4 linked regions of the Arabidopsis thaliana genome follow. The protein of the gene in region 4 purifies or fractionates together with the protein of the main gene of each other region. This does not show direct contact. Each region holds a gene or a part of one and is shown on either strand. Other genes may lie near its edges.

Evidence for each region.
Region 1: the proteins of iPGAM1 (region 4) and AT3G02860 fractionate together in Arabidopsis thaliana (co-fractionation; one large-scale study listed by BioGRID). This does not show direct contact.
Region 2: the proteins of iPGAM1 (region 4) and AT4G11120 fractionate together in Arabidopsis thaliana (co-fractionation; one large-scale study listed by BioGRID). This does not show direct contact.
Region 3: the proteins of iPGAM1 (region 4) and IMD1 fractionate together in Arabidopsis thaliana (co-fractionation; one large-scale study listed by BioGRID). This does not show direct contact.

The regions. Positions count from the first base shown.
Region 1 is NC_003074.8:624,611-629,198, forward strand, and holds AT3G02860 (zinc ion binding protein), read right to left. Parts: upstream 2,758-4,588; 5' UTR 2,548-2,757; coding exon 2,459-2,547; intron 2,324-2,458; coding exon 2,224-2,323; intron 2,025-2,223; coding exon 1,865-2,024; intron 1,672-1,864; coding exon 1,389-1,671; intron 1,195-1,388; coding exon 1,119-1,194; intron 1,025-1,118; coding exon 978-1,024; intron 876-977; coding exon 689-875; 3' UTR 553-688; downstream 1-552. Other genes in the region: VTC4 (Inositol monophosphatase family protein), read right to left, coding at 3,132-3,231, 3,321-3,377, 3,489-3,589, 3,680-3,748, 3,837-3,880, 4,014-4,068, 4,210-4,294, 4,392-4,495 and 1 more. UniProt on the Arabidopsis thaliana protein: Essential for breaking seed dormancy before seed germination. Prevents reactive oxygen species (ROS) accumulation in response to abscisic acid (ABA) and oxidative stress, probably by repressing the accumulation of ABA-induced ROS-scavenging enzymes (e.g.
Region 2 is NC_003075.7:6,776,204-6,780,778, reverse strand, and holds AT4G11120 (translation elongation factor Ts (EF-Ts)), read right to left. Parts: upstream 3,028-4,575; 5' UTR 2,929-3,027; intron 2,737-2,928; 5' UTR 2,714-2,736; coding exon 2,404-2,713; intron 2,316-2,403; coding exon 2,143-2,315; intron 2,046-2,142; coding exon 1,956-2,045; intron 1,825-1,955; coding exon 1,650-1,824; intron 1,556-1,649; coding exon 1,371-1,555; intron 1,274-1,370; coding exon 1,148-1,273; intron 1,057-1,147; coding exon 968-1,056; intron 885-967; coding exon 845-884; 3' UTR 536-844; downstream 1-535. Other genes in the region: RDR2 (RNA-dependent RNA polymerase 2), read right to left, coding at 1-257; SPA2 (SPA1-related 2), read right to left, coding at 4,104-4,295. UniProt on the Arabidopsis thaliana protein: Associates with the EF-Tu.GDP complex and induces the exchange of GDP to GTP. It remains bound to the aminoacyl-tRNA.EF-Tu.GTP complex up to the GTP hydrolysis stage on the ribosome.
Region 3 is NC_003076.8:4,574,589-4,578,927, forward strand, and holds IMD1 (isopropylmalate dehydrogenase 1), read left to right. Parts: upstream 1-1,534; 5' UTR 1,535-1,631; coding exon 1,632-1,860; intron 1,861-1,947; coding exon 1,948-2,077; intron 2,078-2,157; coding exon 2,158-2,269; intron 2,270-2,353; coding exon 2,354-2,518; intron 2,519-2,595; coding exon 2,596-2,682; intron 2,683-2,760; coding exon 2,761-2,877; coding exon of another isoform or gene 2,878-2,879; intron 2,880-2,966; coding exon 2,967-3,074; intron 3,075-3,155; coding exon 3,156-3,362; coding exon of another isoform or gene 3,363-3,374; exon of another isoform or gene 3,375-3,448; coding exon 3,449-3,523; 3' UTR 3,524-3,814; downstream 3,815-4,339. Other genes in the region: AT5G14210 (Leucine-rich repeat protein kinase family protein), read right to left, coding at 3,915-4,139, 4,237-4,339. UniProt on the Arabidopsis thaliana protein: Involved in both glucosinolate and leucine biosynthesis; catalyzes the oxidative decarboxylation step in both leucine biosynthesis (primary metabolism) and methionine chain elongation of glucosinolates (specialized metabolism).
Region 4 is NC_003070.9:3,164,816-3,169,670, reverse strand, and holds iPGAM1 (Phosphoglycerate mutase, 2,3-bisphosphoglycerate-independent), read left to right. Parts: upstream 1-1,746; 5' UTR 1,747-1,858; coding exon 1,859-2,017; intron 2,018-2,089; coding exon 2,090-2,368; intron 2,369-2,459; coding exon 2,460-3,088; intron 3,089-3,254; coding exon 3,255-3,447; intron 3,448-3,536; coding exon 3,537-3,632; intron 3,633-3,717; coding exon 3,718-3,873; intron 3,874-3,959; coding exon 3,960-4,121; 3' UTR 4,122-4,301; downstream 4,302-4,855. Other genes in the region: COBL6 (COBRA-like protein 6 precursor), read left to right, coding at 1-82, 200-344, 437-717, 802-1,103; CDC5 (cell division cycle 5), read right to left, coding at 4,549-4,855. UniProt on the Arabidopsis thaliana protein: Catalyzes the interconversion of 2-phosphoglycerate (2-PGA) and 3-phosphoglycerate (3-PGA). Required for guard cell function (e.g. blue light-, abscisic acid- (ABA), and low CO(2)-regulated stomatal movements) and fertility (e.g. pollen grains production).

The sequences.
Region 1 (4,588 bases), on a different chromosome or scaffold from region 4:
CCCTTTTTTTTTTGGTTATGCATATATCTTGATTTAAATATTTCAAATGTCAATGGTTTATAGTGGAAAGCCTAATGCATTTTTTTTATAAGTTATATAAGCATATGGTTGGTAATCACAAATAGTCCAAAAATTCACAAAAAAATATGAATATGTTTAGTTAGTGGTCTTCTTCCTTCTTCAATACTTGACCCCTAATTAGTTTCTCGACATATTTGACCCCTAATTGGTTTCTGGAATTGTCTCAATTATTTATTATTCCACATGTATTTGTTTAACAATAATAAGAGTTTTAACTTTAAAGATGATTGTTAAATTTACCACTTTCGTCATTATGTTTTGTGCCACCAAATGATCAATATCTGAAACATTCTCACTCAAAACTAGAATGATACGACCACCAGTCATAATCACTTTTTTTTTTTTAGTTTATCACCTGAAACTGGTCGGAACTGCCACAGTTTCAGGTTTCATCCCCAGATATTTCGGCCTTTTTGGCAACTCTGGTTATGAAAATTACGTTCTTGAATTATACCCATTAACCGATAACTATACCTCAAATACCAATTGATCCTCTGAAACTGATAATTGTATATATATGAGATTGATTAGTTTTCACTGTATATTCTCATAGAACATTGTATGTTTTACCAGGGTACAGATTTTTAAACAGTCTTTTCTAGTTTATTCAAAGATGTTGAGCTCTCCAATCAACAGCAGAATCCTCGTCATCCTCCTCATCGCTGGGCGATTCTTCTTCTGTCTTCTTCGGCTTTTTAACAGACCCCTCAGAGGTTTTACTGCGCTTCGCTAATCTTGCCGCTTTAAGTTCCATTTTCTTCCTCTTCAGAATCTCTACTTTCTCTTTGTATGATCTGCAGAATAAGATTAAAAGGAGAAGCCAAGTGTTTACTTAATCTTAAACAAGTCTCAACATTTCCATCTTCTTGCTATAACAAAGTAATGAATCAAATTACCTTTGCTCTCGTTGTTCCTCCTCTTCTATAGTTTCCGCAGCATCAACCTGACAATTAGAGTGCGAGAAAAGCGATTTTAAGTTTAAGAAAGAGCTTATGATACTGTCAGCAATTTATCATAGTGACAGAAAGTTATCTGACCTCTTCTTCTTCCATGCGGCTATCCACTACCTGCAAATCATCTTGTATCAACTTCTCAAATTCTTTATATTCATCCCTGTAAGAAGATCCATGTTTATATAAGTTCACGAAGAGAATTCTTAGGTACAAACCCATAAGATCATATGAACCATTCAAATTGAGAATGTAGGAAAGTAACTGGATCACAAGGTCCACAACAATGAGGTTTCACTTTGATTTTCTGCATCTGGAAAAGTAAAAGCAACAAAAAAAAAAAGAGAAGAAACTCACTTGATATCTGGTTTGACGAGCTTGATTCCATGGGCAAGCAGGTCAGCTTCTTTATTATCAAAAAAACCGGTTGGAAGGTTTCCATTCACCATTGGTTTTGTTTCTGGACCAGTGGTCTGTGTCTGACTCTGTTTAGGTTCACTGGTGGTTTTGGTATTTGAAGAATCAGTTTTCTGATTATCAAAGAATCCGGCTGGAAGAGGTCCCTTTGACTTATTTGTTTCAGATCCTATAGTGTGCTTTGATTGCTCTAAATTCTTGGATTTTGCTGGTTCTACTTCTGCTGCACATATATTTGATCAATAAGTTTTTTTTTTCGATTGACGAATGAAACTATCATCAATCTTTCAAAAAACCTAAGACTAGAGCCTTTAAGCATGGCATCCACATAACTAGCACCTAAACCAAAAGCCTTCTACTAAGAAAATTATTCGAAAAAGATAAGAACAAGAAGAGGAAAGTGCATTAGTCATTACCTCTAGCAGGCTCACGATTTTCGAAGAAATTTGGCGGAAGACCAGATGATGTCTGAGAATTGGATGATTTAGCCAAAGCTTCAATTTTCGTTGGCCGAGTTTCAGCAGGTTTGCTACCCCGTTGGACTCCCGCTGCACTAGCCTTGAGACTATCAATGGCCTGTCCAAACGTTACATTACGAAAGCTAAGTTAATAAGATTAAAGAACATAAAACAGAGAATCTAACGCATAAAATCATATAAGAGCATGAAATCTACCTATCTTCAATGTATGTAATTTATCAAATATCCCATTGTTGTTACTCAGGTTATAAGAGATTGTGAAGTAAAGCTTATGGAGCAGAAGACACTAAGTTTACCTCGTGGTGCTTACGAGAAGCTTGATGTACATCCCAGAGTGATTCAGATTTCAAGACGACATTGCAAACTCGACACACAGGCTGGTCTGATTCGTTGTACCTACAAATCCAAAGAACAAACTCTTCATCCCAACTACAGCTCAAGCCCAATCCCCAGAACCCACAAATATTTGGAATTGTAGAAACCCAGAAGTGACATCGAAACGAAGAGAAGAAGAAGCTAACAACGGTTTACCTAACGAGAGGAGAATCTATGCGGGTGTCTTTCTTCTTGGCGTTGAGTTTAGACCGGAACATGGCCTTCTTCTTCGCTTGAGCATCCATCACTCTCCTTCGTAGCAACCCACGCAACTCCCAAATTATCACAACCTCGCAAGGAATACGAAGATCTGAGAAATTTGTTCTATTCAAATCAAACCCTAAGTCCTTAGAGGAGGACAACAGTCACCGTGAGAATCAAAATTCCTCCCTCCGTTCTTCTCCGCAATCTCTTCTCTTTTACGGGTCGGGTCGATCCAACTCGGGATTAGACTTGAGACTTTCGGGATGCTTCTGGGTCGTTAGTCGTAACTGGGCCGGACTCATTATCCCCATTTTCCTCTGTTGTTAATTTAGTATGGATCACAAAATACCTTAAACTCCACCTTTTATAAAAAAAAAAAAAATGCAAACTCGATTACAAAGATCAACTACATGGAAGAACAGAATTATATCATTCAATACCAAACATATGATTTTTTTTTAATTGAATTCACAAAGGGTAGCAGAAAGAAAATAGTTTTTTTTTTTTCTCAACAATTGAGTTTGTTTTCTTTCTACCGAAAAGAAATATTCAATAATGTTAAGTTTTTGAATTGAGTTTGATCATATAAGGTTGAGACCATATTGTAAAATAATAACAGATGACTTCATGCCCCTGTAAGCCGCAACGCCTCAGCGAATAACTCCTTGAGAGAAGCGTTTGAAGCCGCGATCCTCTGCGATGTTATGTCCAAATCTTTACCGGATCTGATGAACAAAGACGACATAAAACAGTTAGTTATAATCAGTTGGACGGTTTGAGAGTGAGTGTGTTTGGTTTAATCTCAAACTCTTACGGATCAAAGATGAGTCCACCAGCTTCTTTCACGATAACAATTCCTGCTGCAATGTCCCTGTGAAAGATTTGATATTATTATGCCATCATCAGGATCTAATTTTGTTTGTACAAGAAAGAAATCCCCTTTTTTAATCCAAGCAAGGAAAAAAAAAAGAAGACAATTTACCATGGACCACCGAAACCGAGCTCGTAGAAGATATCAACCCTTCCACACGCAACGCCACAGAGGTCCAGTGCACACGAACCACTCATCCTAAGGGACCTGACCTGATGAATGAAGGACACAACAATCATGAGTTTTGGCAGAGACTAGAACCAAATTGGTGGAGTTCCAAATATCTATCGATAAACTTTTACCTTGGTTAGCAAACTGTTGATTCTGTTGGTTGTATCGTCTAATGTAGCTTTATCTCGTTTAGTACCCGCCTATATTCAATTGGTCACATTAGCGATGAGAGGAGGCTTCATAGCAATCTAGTTTTAGTAGTCTAACACAAAGGAGCCAGATTTTTACCTCTGTCACGAGCAAAGCGGTTAAAAGTTCGCTTTGAGCTGACACTGCAAAAAGAACATTGTTTGAGTTGAAAAGAAGGAAGAGAACTCAAGTCTCTGAACAAGTGATAGCTATACTCCGGATGCCATAAAAAGAGATCAAGAAATTTTTTATTAGGTCTCTAGAACAAGTGCTAACCTTTGATTCGCTTTCCATTCAAGAATGCTCCTTTCCCTTGGACACCGGTGAATAGCTGTTTGATCATTAGATATTATGTAAGAATTGAGAAAAATCTTGAAACATGCATGTACAGAGCACCATCAAGGAAACTATGTATAATGGTAAGTTGTAACGATCGAAGAAACTTGAAACAATGGAATACACAATCTTTTACCTCTTCCATAATAGGATTATAAACAACTCCAACAACAGGGACTTTTCCAATCGTAAGTCCAATGGAAACACACACGAAAGGGAACCTACAAAAAAAAAACAGCATTTGTTTTTGTTTTTGATGAAATGGGCAAATGAAACACACAGGTCATTCAAATGGGAATTGATCAATAATGATAATACCCGTGAACGAAATTGGTTGTTCCATCAAGAGGATCAACAATCCAAGTTGGTTCGTCAGTTAGTTCTGTCACACCAAATGCAGCTGTAGTTTCTTCTCCTATGAACTAATAAATTATAGCAAAACTCTAATGATCAACGCGAGGAAGAAGCCAACAAAATGGGAATTCAAAAGAAGAAATAATCACCACCTTGTGATT
Region 2 (4,575 bases), on a different chromosome or scaffold from region 4:
AGGTTATGGGTTTTGAAAAGGAGCTTGCTTTGAGAAGAGAGAAGCTGGGCTCGAGATTTGACTTCGAGGGTAGTGAATTGTACTCGAGCGAAGTCTCTTGGCTTCCAATTGTCACGAGTTGTTGGGATTTCGAGTGCGAATACAGTATCTTCGCCGAGGTGGAGTTCTAAGAACCGGAGGAGTTCGTCGGCGACTATGGTTTGAGGAACGTTTGAGATTTTAACCGTTGATCGGTTCGTCGTCGTCTCTGACACCATGATTAACCCAAGAGAAAGAGAGACGGGGACAGTGTGAAGAGTAAATGATTCTCGAGAGAATCAGAAGTTTTTGCTTTTTCAGAAAGTTTGCGTTTTTCGAAAATCAAAAGGTAGAAGAAGAGTGCTTAGTGTTTATTGAGTGTTTTGTGGTGTACTGTAACTCAATACAGATGTATGATATCAACCGTAAGATTAGTTCTCGTTGATCTTGATCGTTGATTGTGGATAATATAAAGTTGACCGGTTTTGTCTATGAATTATATTAAACCGTCAATTTCGACCGTTGGTAACCGGAGGAGCCAAGAACTCACTATCTGCTTATTCAAATACTTGAGTACCTTAAAATCAAACACATAAGTGAAGGTTTTTGTATAATGATCTTAGTAGGAGTAGGAGAACACAAACATGTTTTTTTTTTCTGGTCATAGCTTCCTAGGCACAATCACTCTTATTGCCATATTGTGTGAGAAACAAAATCATGAGAAAGATTCTATAATCTCAAGAAGGCGTTGAAGCCATGAACTCTAAAGGAACCAAAGAAGGAAAGAGTTCTGTAAATCTAAAACCATGTCGTTGATTCTTTGTCTTCAAGCAGTTTGAGCAACTGGTTCATCAGATGCTTCAAGCCTTCAAAAAAAACAAAATTCATAAGCGACTAATCTTACAACAATGATAAGCCGTACTGGACATACGGGTGACGGTTAGTTTACCTTTCGATTCCTTCCCCAACCTCGACTCTAAGAAAATCGGTAACCTTCACTGGAGAACCTACCTCCTTGGACAAATTATCCACCAGTGTCTGTGGAATAGGAGCCCAAGAGTTGAATTCAACAAGCGATGCAGAGGTAATAAAACGGTAAACTAGGTGTTTTAAGCTAAGACCCACATACCTTAATGTTTATAGCATCGTTCACAATAAACTTTTGCTCCATTAGAGCAACTTCTTCAAAATACTTACGGAGACGCCCTTCCACAATCTTCTCTATCGCCATCTGATTCTTGCCTGTACTTTCTGCCTGTCATATACAACATTTGATAAGCAAACTTTTCTAACGCAGGTTGTGTACTTTTTACAAATTACAGTTCAATTTCATAACATAAAGTGACACTAACCTGAGACTTTAGAATCTCGCGTTCATTTGCCATTGCTTCAGAAGAAACAAGGTCTTTGCTTAAAAACAAAGGCTTTGCTGCTACAACATGCATAGCCAGTTCTGAGCCTACACGCTGAATAGCCTCTAGTTGAGTATTTTCACCTTCTACTTCGAGAGATACAATCCCAGCTATACGACCCAACCCTATTCTCATTTTTTTTTTTAAAGTTAGAAATGCACAGAAATATCATAAAAAAAGAGATTAGAAACAATGGGAAGTATATTGAACAAATTGTACCTGGTTGAGGACTTGTGTGAAGATATGCAGAAAGGACGCCTGCTGAAGATTTTGACATCAAGAAACCTCTCCTAAATTTTACATTCTCTCCCATGATTGCAGCTACTTCTGTAACAGCGTTTGAAACCGTTGTTTCACCATTAACTTTTGGATGATCGAGGTTAAGCTTGAACTCCTGATAGCATCCATTAGAGTGATTAGAAATGAAAAGTTGATATCAATATCTCAGACAGTGCAAAGGAAACAACATAAATCCATAAATTTAAATAACAAAAAAGGAAACAAGCGAGTACATAAAAAACTGACCTCAAAAAGCTCCGGCCCAAAGGGGAAGACACCAGAAACTTGCTGCGAACTACTCTCAACCAGCAAAGCATGTTTTGCCATAGCTAAAGCCTGCAAGACATGTCAATTTTAGAAGACAAGGAACAGTAAAATAAACAAAAAGCCCATCATTCAGCAACAACCAATGTGAAATTGCTATGGGACTAACCAAGTACTGGAAAATCTCATTCCTAGCAACAAAATCAGTCTCACAGTTAAGTTCAATAACAGCAACTTTCCCTTCATTTTGAGCAACGGCAAGCATTCCTTCTGCAGCAGTCCGTGACGACTTTTTCGAAGCCAAAACTTTCCCTCTCTTTCTCAAATCCTTCTGAGCAGCCTCTGTGTCAAATCCAAAAAAACCCACTTCAAAACACAACAAAACATACACAACCTTCACCAAAACAAAAAACCTAAACCAAATTCTTACCAAGATCCCAATTGCATTCAACTAAAGAAGCCTTAACATCTTTAATAGGAGCACTAGTTCTTTCCCTAAGTTGCTTAATAAGACTCATTTGGTCAGATACAGCAGGAGGAGCTTCCGAACTAAAACTCCGTATGAAATTCCCAAAACCACGAACAAGGCTTGTGTAACCAGACGGTACAGAGCTTTTGTACTGAGACAAAGTTTCGAATTTGCTTGCCACAGTAGAATACTCATTTCCAGAACTAAATCTACTACTAACACTATAATAAAAGACTCCAATTGGTCTTCTCACTGCTCTAGCAAACGCCATTTTCTTATATGTTAATCAGTTCTCTGCATCCAAAAACAAAAATCCTCAATTTGATAAGTATAAAATTCCTTCCTTTAGATCATCAAGAAACAAATTCTGAACTTGAGATAATCAAACGCAAGTCTTAACTAATTAAACCCTAAAAGAAGAGATTAACTTGACTAGAAATAGATCGACGTGAAACGAGATCGAAATAGCTTGGGAATGGAGCTTACCCGGCGATGAAAGTTGTTTGGTTACTGTGATAACGACGGTGATGGTTTTTGTAAAATACGACTGAAATTGGAAAAGGGTTTAAGTTTATAAGTATGGGCCCATTGATGGCCCATTAAGAGTTCGATAAAATAGTTGTTTTTGCAGAAACTTTTAGTTTAGGGTTTATGATAATGGAGAAAAAGCTTCCCCTACCAATTTGACGACAAGAAGCTGTGAATCTTCTCAATTGTGTTTCGGAATCGAAATTCGATCAAGAGAAATGTCTAATTCTACTGCAATCTCTCTGAGAATGTGTTCTATCTAAGGTTTGTTCTTTTCTTTTTCCAACATTTCCTCAATTGGAGTTTTTGAACAATTGTTTTTCCATATGGCATGCTTCACTAGTTCACTATGAATTCTTCTTTGTGATTCTTAAGTCTTTCTCATAGATGTAAGACAGCTTGATCTTAGATTGAGCAAGGCCTTGATTCATCTTCTGTTGTTGTTTGTCTCAGAAAGTAAAAAAGTTTTCAGTACCAAGTGAAGAAGACCATAAACAAGTTGGAGCAGCTTGATTGAGCAAGAAACCTTGATAACGTTATTACGCTGATTCAGTCCTAAGCTATGTACAATGATAAAGCATTTCAAAGATTACTTTTGTGAACATTCAACAAAAAACGATGCATTTAAAGTTTTTAAAAAGAAAAACGAAGATTTTTCTTTTCTTGGTGGAGGAGATTCATCCGTAGAACTAAAAAGCTCATTTCAACTATATATACATCAGAGTATGCTCTTTTACCTTAGAACTATCGGAGCAAATTTACATATCACAAAGAGGAATCTTATTGTAAGAGCCAAAATAAAAAATAAAAAAATAAACACCTTAGAACACCACAAAAGAGAAGGTCTTTTACCTTACTATGTATACCCATCAGCGGTATAAACCCTTACCGCGCTGATCAAACCGCAACTATTGAACAACTATAGTTCTACTCACTCTCATTCCTTCACCCCATTTGAGGAAAACTTTAGCAACAGATAGATAAAACTATCTCATATCTGTGTGTTGAAAGCTTGTTCGTTATCTCCGTTGTTTTGCCTGATTCTTGGATTGATGGGGTTTTTGTTTTACCATAAACCAAGAGGGCTCTAGGTGTAGAATTACCTCAGCTTCTTCTGTATGTATGTATTTATTTCAGACCAACTGTAGAACTTTGATTGACCCATTTGAGCTAGCTGAAACAACCATATTCGATCTTTTTCTCCAGCAAACGCTTGAAACGAACAGGTTGTTGTCCTCCTCTATCTCCTTACCTGATATTGGATCAATAGAACCAAACTTGTACGAGGTAATTGGCATGGGAAGAGACCGGTGATAGGCATAAACCTGAACAAAACAAGAAACAGCATATTTCTCAATCAGAGAGATCACTTAAACAACAATACTACCAGATTAGTTCTTTTTTGACCCTACGCCAGTTATTTTACTAATTGTTAGTATCAATGGATAAGTTCCTCCATCGCGTATAAATAGACGGAATTCACATGGAACTGTGATTTTTTCCATCACATGAAATAAACTCTGGAGCTTCTAGTTAAGTTGAGAATCAAACTATCAATCTGTGGCAATGCTTGTTAAAGGATTATAGAAAAGGAGATTCCATACA
Region 3 (4,339 bases), on a different chromosome or scaffold from region 4:
TTATGGTGTGTAAACATAAATTAAGAATTGAATCATGCACAAAAAATAAGACAAGCATTTATGAATAGTTTCTAGAAGTGGTGAATCATCCACTGCTATCGTCGATACAACATTTACTAAAGTTTCTATATATAAGTGGAGGGATGATCAGTGTGACCATGCCATGATTTCTAACTTTTTTGAGAGAGCGAGGTTATTATGATAAACATTTAAAATAATACGTGGAACTGAGATGAATGGAAAATAATCTTTATAAAAGAGAAAAAAAAAAATAGAAGATCTCATGATAATAAAAGTACTTCCATATGTTTTCAATGTGAAGAAAAGAATAGTAAAGGAGATACATCCAATAGCTTAGTCTAGAAAAGAGCTGACTAATTTTTTTTAAAAACAAGATCTCTGGTTTGTATATTTGTATCGATTACACAGCCTAGATATATAAAACACAAAACTTGATGGAGACAATTTCATATCCTATATATACACATTAATTTAATGAGTGAATAGTAATAGCAACTAGCAAGGCAATCTAAACAAAATTAAGAAAAGAAAAATGTTAAATTCCTGAGATCTATAATAACTCATAAGCAAAAAATATATTTAAAAAAATCATACAAATGTTGTAATAATATCATTTTGTTTTAATGTGGAGTGATAAAAAGAAGATAGGACGAAAGAAGAAACTGTTAAAGGCGATTGTAGATGCTGTAGGGACGGATAAATGGACTATGACATCAGTTTCCGTTACTTGTTTCTTCTCGAACTCAAAGAAGAAAGAAAAAAAAAAAAAAAATTCTACATCGGTACGCTTTCGTTTCACACCCTGCATGCACACAGTGTCCGGTAGTCAAAAATACAAAAAAAAGAAAAAAAACCTCGAGACATGCTAAATTTGGATAATGATTAATAATTTGGGGGTACACAATGTTCCAAATAATTTATATACAAAGTCTTGCTTTCATATTATTTGTGTGTCCACACTTCAACAATATAGTATTATACTATTATCCCTATCCCCTATGAAGTATGAACACACTTTTTATGATACGTATCATATTCAGAAAACATCAAAAATTGGTCATAACTCTCACGTGGTGTGGTGGATTTGCCTCGCCTTTCGTTTCTGTTTTTTGCAAATATTTAAGAATCTTTGGTCATTTAGGCTTTAATTTAGTTACTTTAAATTTATTTTTGTTATAGAAGTATTATGTTAAAAACAGTTCGTGTTCATCCTTGGACTAACCAGACGATTTGACAAAATCCGAATATCCGATCATAAAATTAAATAATCAGCCGTTATTGTTCCTCTACTACTACGTTTTAACTTTTAAGAACTTCTCCTGGTACTTTGATGGGCTATAAGAGCGGCCCAATATTTCGACTTTAAAATGGGCCAATCTTTGGTAAAGGCCCAATTATAGTGGCGCTTCTTCTTCTTCTTTTCCTAAACAAGCAATGGCATGGTTTAGCTGGTGAGCCAGTTTATAGGTAAAAAGGATAATTTAAGCCATTTAAAAAAACAAATCTTTAATGGCGTAATTCAAAAAACGTGCACACCTATCTAAGTACCAAACTCTTTATGTTATATAACTATTGTGACACAATTTCAAATTTGCTAACTCCCAAAAAAAATGGCGGCGTTTTTGCAAACGAACATCAGTCTGAATGCGATCAAGATCGTCCCGGGGAAATACAGTTCTCTCACCGATCATCAGTTTCGTGCGCCGTATCGAATTAGGTGCGCCGCCGCTTCACCTGGGAAAAAACGGTATAACATCGCTCTGCTTCCCGGAGACGGTATCGGTCCAGAAGTTATCTCTGTTGCTAAGAATGTGCTTCAGAAAGCTGGATCTCTCGAAGGTTCTTTCTCTTTCTCAATGGTTTTTGGAAACAACGAGTGTGTTTGCTTAGCCAGTAGATGATTGTGTCTTTGCTTTTGTATCACAGGACTGGAGTTTGATTTCAAGGAGATGCCTGTCGGAGGAGCAGCCTTGGATTTGGTTGGAGTTCCATTGCCGGAGGAAACTTTCACGGCTGCAAAACTATCTGATGCCATTCTTCTTGGAGCTATTGGAGGGTATGTGTGTGAGTGCTGTTTCTTTAGCAATCTGCTTCCAAATTTATTCTGATCTTGAGGTTTGGATGATTATTGTTCAGGTACAAATGGGACAAGAATGAGAAACATCTGAGACCTGAGATGGCTCTGTTTTACCTTAGAAGAGATCTCAAAGTCTTTGCTAATTTGAGACCTGCTACAGTTTTGCCACAGGTATCTTCGGTTTTGATTTGCTTAGCACTTGAATTTTGCTTCTAGTTGTAAATAAACTCAAATGTTTCTGTTTTGCTTGTTCAGCTAGTTGATGCTTCCACACTGAAGAAAGAAGTAGCAGAAGGTGTTGATATGATGATTGTTAGGGAGCTCACAGGAGGTATTTACTTTGGAGAGCCAAGAGGCATTACGATCAATGAAAATGGCGAAGAAGTCGGCGTTAGTACAGAGATCTACGCTGCTCACGAGGTAATAACCCTTCACACTGTGCTCTGTGACAATATTGGCAATGTATGGATATTAATGCATTGATTTATGTTCTTCAGATTGACAGAATTGCTCGTGTAGCATTCGAGACTGCTAGGAAAAGGCGTGGCAAACTTTGTTCTGTTGACAAAGCCAATGTGTTGGATGTACGTTCTGTTAGTTCACTGAATTGTTTTTCCACTTTTGTGTGTTTTACGAAATGCAAATTTCTTTGTTTCATGTAGGCATCAATATTGTGGAGGAAAAGAGTAACAGCTTTAGCCTCTGAATATCCAGATGTTGAACTATCACATATGTATGTCGATAATGCTGCAATGCAGCTTATTCGTGACCCGAAACAGGTGCTTCTCGCACATATATCAAACTTAGTCGTTGATTAAGCTAACTCAGAAGTGGAACTAGTACTCACGGTGTTTTTAAAACAATGCAGTTTGACACAATCGTTACCAATAACATTTTTGGTGATATATTGTCTGATGAAGCTTCAATGATCACTGGAAGCATTGGAATGCTTCCATCTGCTAGTCTCGGTGAATCGGTAAACAAAATTAACTAACATCTTTCAAGGCTCCTCCTGTTTATAAACTAATGCGAAATGTTAAACTTGTGATGAAATCAGGGACCTGGACTCTTTGAACCTATACATGGTTCAGCACCAGATATAGCTGGACAAGACAAGGCAAACCCATTGGCCACCATTCTCAGCGCGGCGATGCTTCTGAAGTATGGACTTGGAGAAGAAAAGGCTGCAAAGAGGATTGAAGACGCTGTCGTGGATGCTCTGAACAAAGGGTTCAGAACCGGAGACATCTACTCCCCTGGAAATGTATGTGCATGATGATTCTTATCATTTGTTTTGTACAAGTTCGTAACAAAATACTTAAAAAAGTCTTTTGTGTTTTGAAAATGCAGAAACTGGTGGGATGCAAGGAAATGGGTGAGGAGGTTCTCAAATCAGTGGAATCCAAAGTTCCAGCTACTGTTTAAGTTTATTGATGATTTGAAGCACTTGAAAAAGTTTGTGTAGCACTTGGTTTTACGGTCACTTATATGCTAATCCATGCAACATTGTACCTTTTATAATAAATAAATTATTTGGGATCGATTCTGCAATTCAAAGACAAGATTCTCCAAAAACATTTGACAGGTCTCCTGCCTTTACTTACCTTGTTCTTGAAGATTGAGAATTTCTCTTCAACTACAAGACTCAATATCTTCTTCAATCAATATTTGTTTAACGAAATAAGTTTCAAGAGAAGACAAGCTACTATGATTTTTAGTCTCAAGAGTCTTACATTTTTATACTGAAAACCAAACTTATAGAGCTTTACATTTAGAAAACCGAAAAAACTATCAATCATTAGGTTAGCCTTTGGATTCACGACGACGTATCAGATTTGCGTTCAGCGTCTGCGGCAGACTGCATTTGAGCTGCGTATTGTAAGTTCCAGAGAACATCTTCAAAGGAAGGTCTTGCGGAAGGTTCAAGCAAAACACATTTATTGGCGATTGAGATCGCAATCGATAAAGACTCCTGCGAGCTTGTTGTTAGGACTGTTGGACTTACTATTTTCTGCCGACCGTCTTGGCTCCCAAATGATGTCTGCAAACACAACATTGCAGCAACAGCTATTAACCAAATTTGTTTCAATCAAATAACAATGATGATGCTTTTTTTTTTTGCTTTTTCTCTTTGTTACCATTTCGTTGAGAAGAAAAGCCTCTCCTTTTGTAGTGGGCACTGGTCCTATCAGAGATTCCAGAAGTATGAATCCGAAGTTGTACACATCGTCCTCTCTTTTA
Region 4 (4,855 bases):
GGTTATAGCTGCGACAATGCTACATCCGTGTCCCCGACTAAGTTTAGTACTGATAAGGGCCGTCGCAAAACACAAGCTCTAGGTAACCAAAATTATATAAATTGCAATATAATTACAAAAAGAAGTTGAGAAATGTAGAAACATGTTATACATAGGTTTTTTGAGTTATGTAACATAAGATATGTGGTGTTGAGTGCAGCAACATGGGAGGCAGTGTGTGTATACTCGCAGTTTCGGTCATCACCATCGCCAAAATGCTGCGTTTCACTCTCTGCCTTCTACTACCAAAACATTGTTCCTTGTCCTACCTGTAGCTGCGGCTGCTCGAGTTCCCATTGTGTCAAGTAATTCACTTTTCTAAACCTTTCACTTTTTTTTGGATATAGATGTAACAACATGTATAATATATACTAGAGAGCAACATTTGATTGATCAGGGATGGAGAGTTGCCGCCATATCTTGAACAGAAACATGATCCAGATGAGGAAGTATCGCCTGTCGTGAAGTGTTCGGATCATATGTGTCCCATCCGCATCCACTGGCATGTGAAAGTGAACTATAGAGAGTATTGGAGGGTTAAGATCACAGCAACAAATTTCAACACAATGAAGAATTACACTAATTGGAACTTAGTGGTGCTTCATCCAAACTTGAAAAGCGTCCAACAAGTCTTTAGCTTTAACTACAAATCTTTGACACCATATCAAAACAGCATCAGTAAGGAAATTCTTTAAAAACCACACCATAGTCTCTTAGATTATTGGTCTAACATCACTTGTTCTTCGTGTGGTGTTATTTCAGATGACACAGGGATGTTTTGGGGAGTCCAGTTTTATAATGATGTTTTGCTTCAAGAAGGAAAGATTGGGAATGTTCAAACAGAGTTATTGCTGAAGAAGGATATGGGAAATTTCACTTTCAGAGAAGGTTGGGCTTTCCCAAGGAGAATCTTGTTCAATGGTGATGAATGTGTTATGCCTTCTCCAGATGACTTTCCAAGGCTGCCAAAATCTGCTCATTCCTCTTCGTCTTCCTCTGCTGTTATTAGCTCTGTTTCAGTCGTTTTCTGTTTTCTCCTTCATCATCTTCTTCTACTAGTTTGATGAGATTGTTTCTTTCATTTGAACCTACATTGTTCCATGCTTCTTTGACTTTTCCAAGAAACAAAGCCTCTAATAAAGCTTGCATCAAAAAGGATTAATATACAGTATTAGGATTTAGGAAGCATGTTCTGTGATGTCCATTCACATTTCTTGACCATTTGAGATTTAAAAGAACTAAGAATAAGGTAAGATATTTATGGTGTATTTATTAACCAATACACAAAGCCGGTTCGTCATATTGAAAGTTGAAACTAGTTATATATGGCCCACCATATCAAGCGGTGAAGTTCTATAAGTGGAAAGGAAAATTACTCTTACGAAGTCCTTGTAAACCAAGTAAATGAATAAGGCAATAGTACATGTATTCTAAGCTCTAATAAAATGGAAGTAAAGCAATATTTCTAAATTTTAATTGTTAAAAAAAGTTGAATGTCGCATTAAAATTATCACTCTTGTGAAAAAAAAAGAATAAAAGTTGAATGTCGCAATGTTTTTTTTTTGTTTTTTTCCTAAACATATAAATAACAAAATGGCATGTGTCATCACAATGTAAAATCTCATAAGAAAAATAAGGAAAAAGAATATTCGGAGCCAATAAGAATTTTATATTTACGTGAGAGACAAGTGGCCCAATTGACGGGCCCATATTGCAAAAACGCCTCTTTTTAAAACCCGCCTCTTCCTTCACACCAACCTTCACTTTTCTCTCAGATCTGCTTTGAGATTCTCCGATTGCATCTCAAAAAATCTCAGCTATGGCTACCTCCTCCGCTTGGAAGCTCGATGACCACCCCAAGCTCCCCAAGGGTAAGACCATCGCCGTAATCGTCTTAGATGGTTGGGGTGAATCTGCCCCTGATCAGTACAACTGTATCCACAACGCTCCAACTCCAGCCATGGATTCTCTTAAACATGTATGTTACCTCCTTAATCTTTGATTTTTGATGCTTTTTGGATTCATTGAACTTACTCTTGTTTCTCTATAGGGAGCTCCTGATACTTGGACTTTGATCAAAGCTCACGGTACTGCTGTAGGACTTCCTAGTGAAGATGATATGGGAAACAGTGAGGTTGGTCATAATGCTCTTGGTGCTGGTCGTATCTTTGCTCAAGGTGCTAAGCTTTGTGACCAAGCTCTTGCTTCTGGCAAAATCTTTGAAGGTGAAGGTTTTAAATACGTTTCTGAATCTTTCGAGACGAATACTTTGCATCTTGTTGGACTTCTCAGTGACGGTGGAGTTCACTCTCGTCTCGATCAACTACAGGTTTTGATTTGATATGTTCTTCATTATTTTGTTCAAATTCTGGTTTAATGTTTGTTGATGATTCCTTAAACTTGTTGTTGCTTTTGCGCAGTTGTTGATTAAAGGATCTGCTGAACGTGGTGCTAAGAGAATCAGAGTCCATATTCTTACTGATGGTCGTGATGTTTTGGATGGTTCTAGTGTTGGATTTGTGGAAACCCTTGAAGCCGACCTCGTTGCATTACGTGAGAATGGTGTGGATGCTCAGATTGCATCTGGTGGAGGACGTATGTATGTGACTTTGGACCGATATGAGAATGATTGGGAAGTTGTTAAAAGAGGTTGGGATGCTCAAGTTCTTGGAGAAGCTCCTCACAAATTCAAAAACGCTGTTGAAGCTGTGAAGACTTTGAGGAAAGAGCCTGGTGCTAATGACCAGTATTTGCCCCCGTTTGTGATTGTTGATGAATCAGGGAAAGCAGTTGGTCCGATTGTGGACGGTGATGCTGTTGTTACCTTCAACTTCAGGGCTGATCGTATGGTTATGCATGCTAAGGCACTTGAGTACGAAGATTTTGACAAATTTGACCGTGTGAGGTACCCAAAGATTCGTTATGCTGGTATGCTTCAGTATGATGGAGAGCTTAAGCTACCAAGCCGTTACCTTGTTTCTCCCCCGGAGATTGATAGAACATCTGGTGAATATTTGACTCACAATGGCGTCAGTACTTTTGCTTGCAGGTATTTCAACTTCTGTCCTTTTCTCACTTTGAGTAATGGTTATATGCTTTGTTTAGTATAGTTCCAGTTGCTTGCTCATTATAGGTCTATACTATGCTTTGCATTTTTGCCAATAGTGTATCACGCTTGAACTGATCATATATATTAATGTATGTGACTGAAACAGTGAGACCGTCAAGTTTGGGCATGTCACCTTCTTCTGGAATGGAAATCGATCTGGATATTTCAACGAGAAATTGGAGGAGTATGTTGAAATCCCAAGTGACAGTGGAATATCATTCAATGTCCAGCCAAAGATGAAAGCTCTGGAAATTGGTGAGAAGGCAAGGGATGCAATCCTTAGTGGCAAGTTTGATCAGGTGAGATGGATGCATAGTCTTATGATCTTATAATCGAACATCCCAGGAAATAAGCAGTGATCATCTTATGTTTCAATATTGATTTTCAGGTGCGAGTTAACATTCCAAATGGAGATATGGTGGGTCATACAGGTGATATTGAAGCCACGGTTGTTGCATGCGAGGCTGCTGATCTTGCTGTGAAGGTATGTTTTATAAGTTTATTGACAAGTCTTAATGATGATATGTGTGAGTGTGTGACTTAGCCCACAAATGGTTTGGTTGTTGCAGATGATTTTTGATGCAATCGAACAAGTGAAAGGAATTTATGTTGTGACTGCTGATCACGGAAACGCAGAGGACATGGTGAAGAGGGATAAATCTGGCAAGCCTGCTTTGGATAAGGAAGGGAAGCTTCAGATTCTAACCTCTCACACACTCAAGCCAGTAAGTCCATATCTGTAATCTGTGTTATTACCATAACATAAACCATTGGACCATATCTGATGGGAGATTGTAATTATTGTTTGTAGGTGCCAATTGCTATTGGAGGTCCTGGTTTGGCTCAAGGAGTGAGATTCCGTAAAGATCTGGAAACACCGGGGCTTGCAAATGTAGCTGCAACAGTGATGAACCTCCATGGATTTGTGGCTCCCTCTGACTATGAGCCCACCCTGATTGAAGTAGTGGAGTAGAAGAATTGAGAGCCTTATCAGTTTTTGAAGAGAGGGCTGAAACTCTCTAGTTATCTTTTGTTGCTTTTCTAATAATAAGAGTTTACACACAGACTACTTGTATTTTTGATTTTGGCTTTAGGCCAAAAACATTGAAATTCCATCTTGAATGATATGCAAGCTTTTTTCTTTCTCTCCCATACGATCTCTTCTAGCCAAGGATAAAATTTGCATTGAAAGAGAGGAGGATTAAACATCTTCAGATTGTACTTACATTTGGAACCAAATAGATCCTGAAGCATTCAAATTTCTTGACTCTTGCAAAGCATACAAACAGAGAATATATCATAACCTTTTTACAAAGTCATGACTCATATTAAAAAAACTTACCAATACAAAGTCAAGCTACGTCTCCTTAAAACTTGTAAGCAATACAAAACTCAAGTTTTTATGCAGAAGCTTCCATGGCTATGGCTATGTCCTCTTCCTCTCCAGTGGCTAGCTTAGCTTCTTTCAGTTTGTGAGAATCTTCAACATCCTCTTGTTTCTTCAATGCCTGTGCTCGGAAACCGACCATTATCTCCTCTGCTTTTTCAACCATTGCCAACATATTCCCATAGCGAGTCTGCAGTTTACTCTCTGTTTCCTTTTGCTTTATCACTTCCTCTTGCAAATTCTTTTTCCTAAAAGATGCAGCCATCTCTTCTTGCCTCTTCAATGCTTTAAAGCACTCTACTTCTGTTCCACCAATCTCA